Danio rerio: one gene and its partners. The protein of the gene in region 1 purifies or fractionates together with the protein of each later gene. This does not show direct contact. Links are inferred from orthologs where the notes say so. Each region holds a gene or a part of one and is shown in the gene's direction. Other genes may lie near its edges.

Region 1 (2,769 bases):
ATTTCTGGTAAATTGACACCTATTATTTAATGGGCTTGTTTTTTTTTTAACCAATGTAATTTAATCTTTTGAGGTAAAAAGTTTTTCAAAAATACTTAATATTACATCATAAATTAATAAATAGCCTAATTATTACAAAGCATTTATGATTATATTAGAAAAAAGCATAATAAGGCACTTTTAAGAGTGTTTCTCTTTCTTACTGCAGGGTTATAACAACAGTAAAGGTGTCATTTTGGAGGCTTCTTTCACACCAGACTCTCAGTTCATTATGATCGGTAAGTCTTCACTTAAGCTTCTCACAGGACTACAAAAGGACTTAAGATGAGTTTACAGAGATTGATCGTGTCTCCTCAACATTTCCAGGATCAGAAGATGGGAAGATCCATGTGTGGAATGCTGAGAGTGGGATGAAAGTAGCGCTTCTGGATGGGAAACACACTGGTCCTGTTACATGTCTACAGTTTAACCCCAAATTCATGACCTTTGCCAGTGCCTGTTCTAACATGGTAAGACTTAACCGAAGGTAGACACAAATCTGATGTTTGGCATAACTTACTGTATATGTAGATGGAATATGTGCAATTTGTCACATTTTCAAAACTTGTTTTGGGAGAAACTTGGAGGTAGTTATGAATTAGTTAGTCTTAGATGTCATGCCAAACACTGCTCACGGACATGTGGCTAAATGTCTGATGCATATGGCACACTTAATTGGAAACACTTTAACAGATCATCAGTTGTCCTCTGATTTCTGGGAGTCTAGTGTACAGCAATATTAACCAGTCCACCTGGAAACAAGTCTGATTGGATAAAAAAACTGCTGCAATGTTTATCTCAGTCTGCGTCCACATACATCTCCTACTGATTTCCTATATGTTTTGCTGACAGATCATTAAGTATATTGATGCGTTGTTGTAAACGTTTGAAGACCTGAATGGATGACGCATATGGCTAGGCATTCTGTAGACTCTTCCACGCACATACATAAGACACAACACAAAACGAATGGTTATTGGTTGGTAAAGCTGTCAGTCTGAAATGGCATCATGGGTGGTTCTTTAACCATTGAAATCTGCCAAAGTTCCCAGACCTTCAGCCATCAGTATATGCCTTAGTATTCCTGTTCATCTCAGTGGCATTTTTTTTACTTTGCATTCGTTTAGTACTCTATGCTTTCTGAAAATAATAAAATGTCAAATGGTGCAATCTAATCGATAGTATAATTTACTATAAAAGATTCACAGAATTTAAATGAATGAAAAGGAAATTGCTATGGACTGTAGTCTGTGAATGTTAAACTCAAAACAATTATTTAAGCATATGTGTTTTTTGTTTGTGTAAATAGATCAGAAAAATATTAGCCTCATTTTAAAGTATTACTTTTATTATTATTGTTTATTTTTGTGACTTGTGATGCAGACTTAAAAAAAAAGAACTTAAGAGATGAACATAAAACAACTGTATAAAACAGCCTTTTTAGTATAAGGTATTTTAGTCAGTAGCATTCACTGCTAATTTTTTATGGTAATTATTGGAGAAATGGAATGGGGAAAATGTGATATAAAAAGAGTACACAGGGTTGTCAAATTGTCCTTAAAATCTTCTGCGTTTTCTTTGTGTAAATACTGCAGTAGTCACTAATTGACGGCCATATATATATATATTTATATTTATATACACATACAGGGTGGGCCATTTAAATGGACACACCTTAATAAACTTATTGGGAATTTCACACAAAAAAAACAATGATGTGCTTGCTTTTAACAATTTTATTCTTTCATGAGTTATTTACAAGCCCCCTCACATACTATTGTGCCACAAACAGGACGTTAATATCACCAGCCATTCCCATTTTATTAAGGTGTATATAGATGCATCATTATTCCTGATGTATATCACAAACATATTCTGAAATGTCCCCTGCACAGGCGTTCTGGTTACCCACCATTGATGATTGATGGGCAGCTGTCATCAGTCGGCCTGTGATGTTCTTCCAGCAGGTGGCGTCATTCACCCTTCTCTTGGCACACATGAAGATGTTCACCGTGGGAATTTTGGACTGTAAATAGATTTGGCTTGATGCCGAGTTGTATTATTATTATTATTTTTTTTTCATTTTATATTTGTATGATTAAAAAGTTTTTGTAAAACATTAAGTGATCTGTTCACACATTCTGTTTTGTTTGAGGTTGTAACAGTGCTCAATGAAACTGAGGTGATGTAAAACATCCAGCAGAATTGATCTTAGCTCTCCAAACTATACCAGAAGTCAGCACCTGTAGATTTAGCATCTTGTGCGATCTAAAAAAAAAATGTCAATGGAACTTTTTTTTTTTTAATAAACATGTTTATACAACTTTCCAAAGATTTGGTTTTGAGGCCTTTCAGACATGTAATGCTTCTAGCTGTTGTGTGTAGTCCAGTATAATTGTGTCTGAGGGGAACTGCTTTTATACCATTATTTTACCTGTTTCTGTTGCATTTCTTTGTAATATCAGCATTGTAAATTGCTTATAAAAACAAATTTTATAATCAGTATACACTGACCAGCCTCTCTGAAGCGTCATCTTGTTTTGTAACTTACTTTGCACTAACAAAACAACACATTTTATTTATATGAGTTGTAGCTTTGTTGTCACTGTAATTTGTTTTATTTTTTAATCCAAATAGGGTTTTTTTTCAGGTTAGCCTCACACATTACACCTTTTCTTATTTAAAAGTTGAAATAATCCTTTCTTGGAAACTTTTTATTTCATGTACAAA
Region 2 (3,739 bases), on another chromosome or scaffold:
TAAAGTCACTATTAGTTACAGGTTTCCAACATTTTTTAAAATAACTTATTTTGTGTTCAACAGGAAAAAGAAACTCAAACAGGTTTGTGAAAAGTGAATAATGAGTGGAGAGGAGACACAGTGATGAAGCCAATTATGGTATGGGGAATGTTAGGGGGCCATGATGGACAGAGGCCAGTGGGCAGATTTGGCCAGGATGCCAGGGTTAAACCCCTACTCTTTTTTTGAAGGACATCCTGGGATTTTTAACAACCACAGAGAGTCAGGACCTCGGTTTAACGTCTCATCCGAAAGACGGCGCTCACTGAATAGTATAGTAGGGCATTATACTAGGGCATTAGGACCCACCCAAATCACAGGTTAGGTGCCCCCTGCTGGTCTCACCAGCAACCTAGCTTTCCTATGTGGCCTTCCATCCAGGTACTGACCGGGTCCAGCCTTGCTTAGCTTCAGTGGGTGACCATGTGAGAGTTGCAGAGAGCTAGCTGCCGGATAAATCAAAATAAAAACAAAATGACATGAAATCACAGGCGATTGTCTTTTGATCGAGTGCACCTGAAAAGACATTCCTCATAGAGCTTAAGAAGCATACAGTCCTCTAAGATCTATATAATTTGTAAAATAAAGACTTGCAGGTTAAGGAAACAGCATAGGAGGTAGTTGCCGTGGGCTTTGGTGCAAATGAAAAGTAAAAAAAAATAAGTTGTATTTATAGCTAGATAGGTAACTAGATAGAATAGACAGAGATAGATAGATCTGTGCAGCAGCTGCCGATGAGTTGCACGCTGCAGATGCAGTCTGTGTGAAAGGCAAACGTCTGCGTGCTGCTTGCGTTGTGAAATAGACGTAATTGTGCCTTCTCTTTTTTTTTTAGTTCTTTTTAAGCTTATTTTAACACTTTTTGAAATCTGTTTAAATTTTAAATTCTTTGTTGTTTTTATTTCTTATACTTATTGTGTGATCATTTTATAATTAATTTAACCCTTGTCTAATGTTCAAACGAACTACTCTTTCGTTATGTTGGTGGCTGTATTTGCCCTATTGACTTTGATTATAAGGACATTTTTTGATTGCAAAGCCATGGCAGCATATACTCATGTATTCTTGATTGTTGGTGGTTATTCCTGTGGGGAGTTTCTACTGTTGATCATCAGTTGGCAGCACTTACACTTTAGATGTGCAAAAAGCTTTCTGGCATTTATATGAAGTTCTGTAAATTATATGGAGTAAAACAGCAGATGATAGCGTGTGTGCAGAAATACACTTACTGTGTTTACTATGTGAAGAGAGCTGAGCTGCTTATTTTAATTTCTCAGACATATCAAGGCAAGAGCTTAAAGGTCTCTCACACACAAACACACTATACTCTATATAGAAGGCAGAAAATACGCTTACAGATTCAAATAAAACAATTGACCTTCCCAACAGGATAAACCAGCAACAATCAAGAATACATGATTATATGCTGTCATGACTTTGCAATCAAAAAAAGTCATTATAATGGAAGTCAGTTGGGCTAAATCAGTCCCGAACATAACAAAAGGGAAGTCAATTTGCCCAGAGTTTATTGTTGAATTAAAAAAAAAAAAATCGAAGCATTTTCCCAAAATATGTGTCAAAATAAGATTTTGTCACCAAAAATCATTCCATTTGCTGAAACACAGAGAACAGTGTGGCCAAACTAAGACTCAAAATCCCACCAGAGAGGATGAAACCCTCTCCAACAGCACACAAGGGTTAATCTTGGTTTATGTAAAGTATTTTGGACTTACCTCTGTGTATGAAATGTGCTTTATGAATAAATCTGCCTGGCTTTAGACTAATGTGTTTTGTCATAGGGAAAGAGTATACCAGCGCAGCCCCAAGTGTCCACCAGAGCAGGTTCAGAGCGGCGGTCCGAACAGCGGCGCTTGCTGTCGTCCTTCAGCTGTGACAGTGATCTCCTCAAGTTCAACCAGCTCAAGGTAAGACAAGCACAAACCAAACTATTTACAGTACTGTGCAAAAGTCACTAGTATTTTCACCAAAGGTTAAAGTGGGTTATTTCTATAATTTTCTGTAGTATGTCAGTTTGAAATGTCAATTTACATTTACCAACATTATTTCTGTCATTAATTGTAATTATGCAGCATGAGATTGACAGGTGGATTGGTGCTGTGGCAGCATTAATGCGGTCGATGTACCGGTCTGTTGTGATAGAGAAGGAGCTGAGCCGAAAGGCAAAGCTCTCAATTTACCAGTCAATCTACGTTCCTACTCTCACCTATGGTCATGAGCTTTGGGTCATGACTGAAAGGACAACATCTCTGATACAAGCGGCCGAAATGAGTGTCCTTCGCAGGGTGGCAGGGCTCAGAGTAGAGCCACTGCTCCTGAACATTGAGAGAAGTCAGCTGAGGTTACTCGAGCATCTGTTTCGGATGCCTCCTGGAAGCCTACCTAGGGAGGTGTTCCAGGCATGTCCCACCTGGAGGAGACCTCAAGTAAGACACAGGACATGCTAGAGGGACTATGTCTCTCGGCTGGCCTGGGAACACCTCAGGATCCCCCCGGAGGAGTTGGATGAAGTGTCTGGGCAGAGGGAGGTCTGGGGTTCTGTCCGAAGACTGCTGCCCCCACGACCCAGCCCTGGAAAAGCAGTAGAAAATGAATGAATGAATGTATTTATGCAGTGAGATTAATGTCTGAGGGTAGGACTGTCACCTCACAGCAAGAAGGTTGCTAGTTCGAGTTCTGGCTCGATCAGTTAACATTTCTGTGTGGACTTCTCCTCGTATTGGCATGAGTTTCCTCCGGGTGCTCCAGTTTCCCCCGCAGTCCAAACACAAGCACTATAGACTGTTTCAATGTGGTCATGTCATTGGTCCATGAACATTTAATTTATAGGTTTTAATTTATAGTAGCCTAAGTTATTTATTAAAAATTGTGTATTTACTGAATTGGGCCTATATCCTAAAACATTTCTGCAGTGTTATGAATGTGTCAAAGTTATAAATGTGTGTGTATGTGTGTGTGTGTGTGTGTGTGTATATATATATATATATATATATATATATATATATATATATATATATATATATATATATATATATATATATATATATATATATATTGTTATTCCTATTATTATTATTATTAGGTAAGATATTGTTTTGTATTTCTTAATAAATGGCCTACTATAAATTAAAACTATTACCGGTATGATTTATATAAAAGATTACAATTGTGTTTTTTGTAAGTGGTCTTATGTTTTAGGATATAATATGGCATATTCCTGATAATATTTGTCAAGGAAACATACAGTAGGCCTTATATGTGGGACGATATAAAACGAGTGCATGTTTTTACCACAACTAATATTAGATTTTTAATTTATTTTTTTAAGTGTGTGTGTGTGTGTGTGTGTGTGTGTGTGTGTGTGTGTGTGTGTGTGTGTGTGTGTGTGTTAGTTAAACAGTTTGCACAAAGCTATGGGGATCATTATGGCGTCATTTTAGATGTTTTACATTATAACTAATGTGGTTTACACAATGGATCTGTGACAGAGAAACTACGGTTTTGGGAAACACTTGTCACTACATCGTTCTGTTCCCAAATGATGCATCATACTATAATAGTTCAGCCACGAGTTTTGTCGTTGTTTGGGAAATGCACCCAGGTCTTCATTGTTAATGAGAACTGGTTTTCAATTGACTTATCTGGTTAAATAAAGGTTATTATTAATAATCACACTGTATAT
Region 3 (4,230 bases), on another chromosome or scaffold:
AAAAAATTATATATAATAAGTATTTTCTTAACCTTTGATCTGTGATCCCATTAGCAAGTTATTTTTCATTAAATTGTGTCATTACACAAGACGTTTTTGATTTGTTTTGTTTTGTTGTCATACATAATATTGTACAAAATGTGTAACAAATACTGATCTATAATAGTAATTTTACACTACCTGATAAAAGTTTTGTTGTCTACCCCAGTAGTAGGGGCAACAAATAATAAATTGACTTCTAGTTGATCATTTAAAAAAGTGGCAGAAGGTAGATTTTTCAGATGAATCATTTGTTGAACTGTTTTCCAATCATCACAAATACTGCAGAAGACCTATAGGAACCCGCATGGAACTAAGATTCTCACAGATATCAGTCAAGTTTGGTGAAGGAAAAGTCATGGTTTGAGGTTCATTCAGTATGGGGGCATGCAAGAGATCTGCAGAGTGGGTGGCAACATCAACAGCCTGAGGTATCAAGACATTTGTGCTGCACATTACATTACAAACTACAGGAGAAGGCAAATTCTTCATCAAGCGCTCTTCATACCTCAGTTTCCACAACAAAGTTCCTAAAAGCAAAGAAGGTCAAGGTGCTCCGAATTGGGCAGCCTTGTCACCAGACATAAACATTATTGAGCATGTCTGGGGTAAGATGAAGGAAGAGGCATTGAAGATGAATTCAGAGAATCTTGATGATTGCTGGGAGCCCAGCAAGAACGCTTTCTTTGCCATCCCAGATGACTTTATTAATAAGTTATTTAAGTCATTGCAGAGATGTATGGATGCAGTCTTCCAAGCTCACGGGAGTCATACACAATAATAATTATCTTTCCACTGCAGCATGACTTTATATTCTAAACTGTACATTATTTCAGTTAAGTAACAAGACTTGTCTAAGCAAAGTCAGATCTTACTGTCCTAATTAAATAATTAAAAATCGAGGCATGATCATATTTTATTTCAGTAAAATAAGCTTAAACTTAATAAGCTTAGAAGTCAAGTTATTATTTGTTGTCCTTAAAATTTGGATAGACAACAAGACTTTTGTCAGGTTTACATCAGTGGAAACAAATACTAGTCTTTGTATTTTTAATGTGTTTAAGTTAAGGTATTAAAATTAAGTTTTTAACTTTGCATTACATAAACATTAATATTGATTTTATTAAAATATTGAAAAAAATAAATAAATGCCAAGAGTATACCTATTATGAAAAAAATCCATCTAGAAGAGAAACCAAATACACAAATAGCCAAACATTAAACAATAGGAAACACCATTAACAATTAAACTCCTATCAACAGGTCAAAAGTTTGCCTTCAAACGCGATTAAATATTTATGAAAAGGTCATTAATATTGACGTAACTGCTTGTAACCAAGTGAATGACGTCATTGCAAGCGCCACCTAGCGGCCGTTGCTTGAAGCGCTGCATGCAGAACTCGGCACTGAAGATGGCGGAGGGGGAATTAAACGTTGACAGTCTCATCTCTCGACTTCTTGAAGGTAAGCTGTTTGAAAATTTAGCCTTTCTAACGTTTACACGATAAACCCAGTGATTAGACACTAGTTGTGACTTGTTTTATCGCCGGTGAATTGGAAATTTTGCGTTTAAAAAGAGAGCAAAGCTTCGGGTCTCTGCGCCCTGTTTACAAACACGGCAGTGGCCCCGGGGTTTGGGCAGCTTTCATACCAGCGCTGGGAGGTTCAGATTAGATCTAATATCTACCAAAGCAGGGATGAGACGCGAGGGCCTGTGGTTTATACAGCAGATGTTTAAAGAAAGCGAGAAATGGGAGAAAGGGCAGGACGATGCGGTGCTCGCTGCGTCGTCGACTTTAGGCGAATGCAACCGACGTAAACCCGATTCTCCATTAGACTCTGCTTCTACTGGTTTCAAAATACAGGATTACCGTGTTATTCACCGTGTACGTTAAAACTCTTGATTTATGTGAAACAAATGGATTTTCTAAATCATCTTATTAATGTTCACGGTGTTTTGTGTGTAACAATACACTCAATCTTATCCGTAATTGTACAATGTAAGTAACGTTACAATTCACAGCGTTACATTATCGTTACTCTTCATATTTCCCTTTTAATATGTATTATTTGTCATAATTTTTCTTCCCTTCATAAATACATATTATCTTTATACCGTTGCATACCTTTAATGTCTCAATGCTTTCATTGGAAACGTTTGTTATAACTTTAGTAAAGCCATACAAAGAATGTAAGGTAACATTGAGTTGTATATGTTGTTGTTGTTTTTGTTGAGATATAGGTGCTGTTTTTTACTCAGACATTTAAAAAGACATATTTTAGAGCAGTGATCACAATACCGTGAAACTGTGATATTTTTATCCAAGGTTATCATACCGTCAGAATCTTATATCGGTCCATGCCTATTTATCACTGCATATTCACAAGGTTTCATTGCTATAAGGCCGCAGCTAAATTTGGTTGTCAGTTCAGATTTGATTGTTTAAATCTGTGCTGTTTACACAGTTCAGTCATTTATATGAGTGGCAACTACAGCAAGTGCTTTATTTCAAGGAAATGCAATTGATGGGTACATATACAGACATTCTACAGCTTGTAACAAAAAAAAATTAAATAATAACTAAATGTTAATGTTGTAATTGACACAGCAAACCTAAAAACCAATGTTTTAACTTAGAATAAACAAGCTTGTAGTGATAAACTGTATTTTTAATGTCAAAAGACACTTCGCAAGGATTGCTTGTAATTTGTATATGTGGCAAAACTTGAAGAGTGGCCTCTGTGAAGCAGCCTTCTAAAGAAATGTGTTTAAAGTCATCTTTAGTAGCTGTTAACAAAAATGTTGCTATGGTTACCACATTTACATTGTCTCTTGTTTTACTCACGATAGTTTGCAATTATTTGGGGGATTCCTCCTCTATTTAAATACAATTAACACTTTTAAAGCGTTATTTTGTGTACTTGGCCGTAGTAATGTTTCACTTCATTTCCCTAATGATTTAATTGCTTATTATTCCCCTTATTATAAGATTACACTGAATCCTCCTCTTAATGGCATTGAAAGCTGTATATTTCCTCCCGCGTGCTGTAAGGAATGTTACACTATATGTAGTTGTACTTTTAGGCCAATTCACAACTCTCAGACACAGATAACTAGGCATGGGCCAGTATAAGATTCTGATGGTTTGATAACCTTTCAAAAATATTGTGGTTTCTTGGTTTTGTGATAACTGCTCTGAAATATATGCTCTTTTTAAACCTCTGGGTAATAAACAAAAACTTTTTTCCCCTTTGAACACAATATCTTTCATTTTGAAGAGAAATGTTTAAAATATTTTGTAACAGTAAACATGTCCAAATAGTTCAAATGAATCCTTGTCTTTCTGTTATGAAATGAATCATTGTCTTTATTAGTTTTAAAAAAAGATTTTTTTATTTTATTTAAAACAACGTCTTTGGATATCTTTTCTGCTAGACATTCTGTTGTCCTAAAAACAAAAAAAGTACACATATCTTAGGAATGACATTGCAGAAAATTTGACAGTTTTGCACCTTGACTTTTCCAAACTGCGATATACCTTGAAAGTGGTGATTGTTTCATGTCTACTGACAGCTGGCAGTTTTATTGAATGGGTGAATTTTTTGATTCAGTGTTTATTAGATTTGCGAAAGGTTTGAGAAATTATATGCTGTTATCTGGTGATTGTTGGCATTTATTGGCATAGTAAAATACATGCCAAATAGAAATAGCCATTAGAATAACTATAGATAGTTACTTTTAATAAGTTAGAATTCAATAGAAATTTAATCTTAAGGCTCGTACACACCGGGACGCTTTTCGTTTGCGTTTATGGTCAGCATTTTTCAAGGTGTTTTTCCGGATTCAAACCCAAGCAATTTTGCAAAAGACCCAAGCAAAAGGATATGCAAAATTACTCCTTGACGTTAGATGACGCTACACAACTTTAAGCTTCTGACATTCGCATGTAACACTAAAGAAGAAGACAAAGTTGACATGCTTGTTGTTATGGATGGTTCAAGTAGCAGCTCCAGCTTTAGCGATGAGGAAATGATTATTGTTCACCAATGCAATAAGCAGCTCCACCTTCATATCGCCTCTAGGCATCTTCTTGACAGCTTTGCGCTTGAGAGCCTCCAAGTGCTGTTTACTGTAACTTCAGCAGCTCCGTGCACGTGAACAAAAGTGCCAACCTGATTGGTGGAGAAGGT

What was found.
Region 2: the proteins of wdr82 (region 1) and setd1ba purify together in Homo sapiens (affinity purification with western blotting; 4 studies listed by BioGRID, with this or other methods). This does not show direct contact. The link is inferred for Danio rerio from reciprocal best matches to the Homo sapiens genes WDR82 and SETD1B.
Region 3: the proteins of wdr82 (region 1) and ppp1cb purify together in Homo sapiens (affinity purification with mass spectrometry; 5 studies listed by BioGRID and IntAct, with this or other methods). This does not show direct contact. The link is inferred for Danio rerio from reciprocal best matches to the Homo sapiens genes WDR82 and PPP1CB.

What each region holds. Positions count from the first base shown.
Region 1 is NC_133181.1:44,014,630-44,017,398, forward strand, and holds the end of wdr82 (WD repeat-containing protein 82), read left to right. Parts: intron 1-208; coding exon 209-278; intron 279-366; coding exon 367-509; intron 510-1,934; coding exon 1,935-1,964; 3' UTR 1,965-2,162; downstream 2,163-2,769. UniProt on the Homo sapiens protein: Regulatory component of the SET1/COMPASS complex implicated in the tethering of this complex to transcriptional start sites of active genes.
Region 2 is NC_133185.1:47,244,571-47,248,309, forward strand, and holds part of setd1ba (histone-lysine N-methyltransferase SETD1B-A), read left to right. Parts: intron 1-1,838; coding exon 1,839-1,964; intron 1,965-3,739. UniProt on the Homo sapiens protein: Histone methyltransferase that catalyzes methyl group transfer from S-adenosyl-L-methionine to the epsilon-amino group of 'Lys-4' of histone H3 (H3K4) via a non-processive mechanism.
Region 3 is NC_133192.1:27,042,076-27,046,305, reverse strand, and holds the start of ppp1cb (serine/threonine-protein phosphatase PP1-beta catalytic subunit), read left to right. Parts: upstream 1-1,430; 5' UTR 1,431-1,451; coding exon 1,452-1,503; intron 1,504-4,230. UniProt on the Homo sapiens protein: Protein phosphatase that associates with over 200 regulatory proteins to form highly specific holoenzymes which dephosphorylate hundreds of biological targets.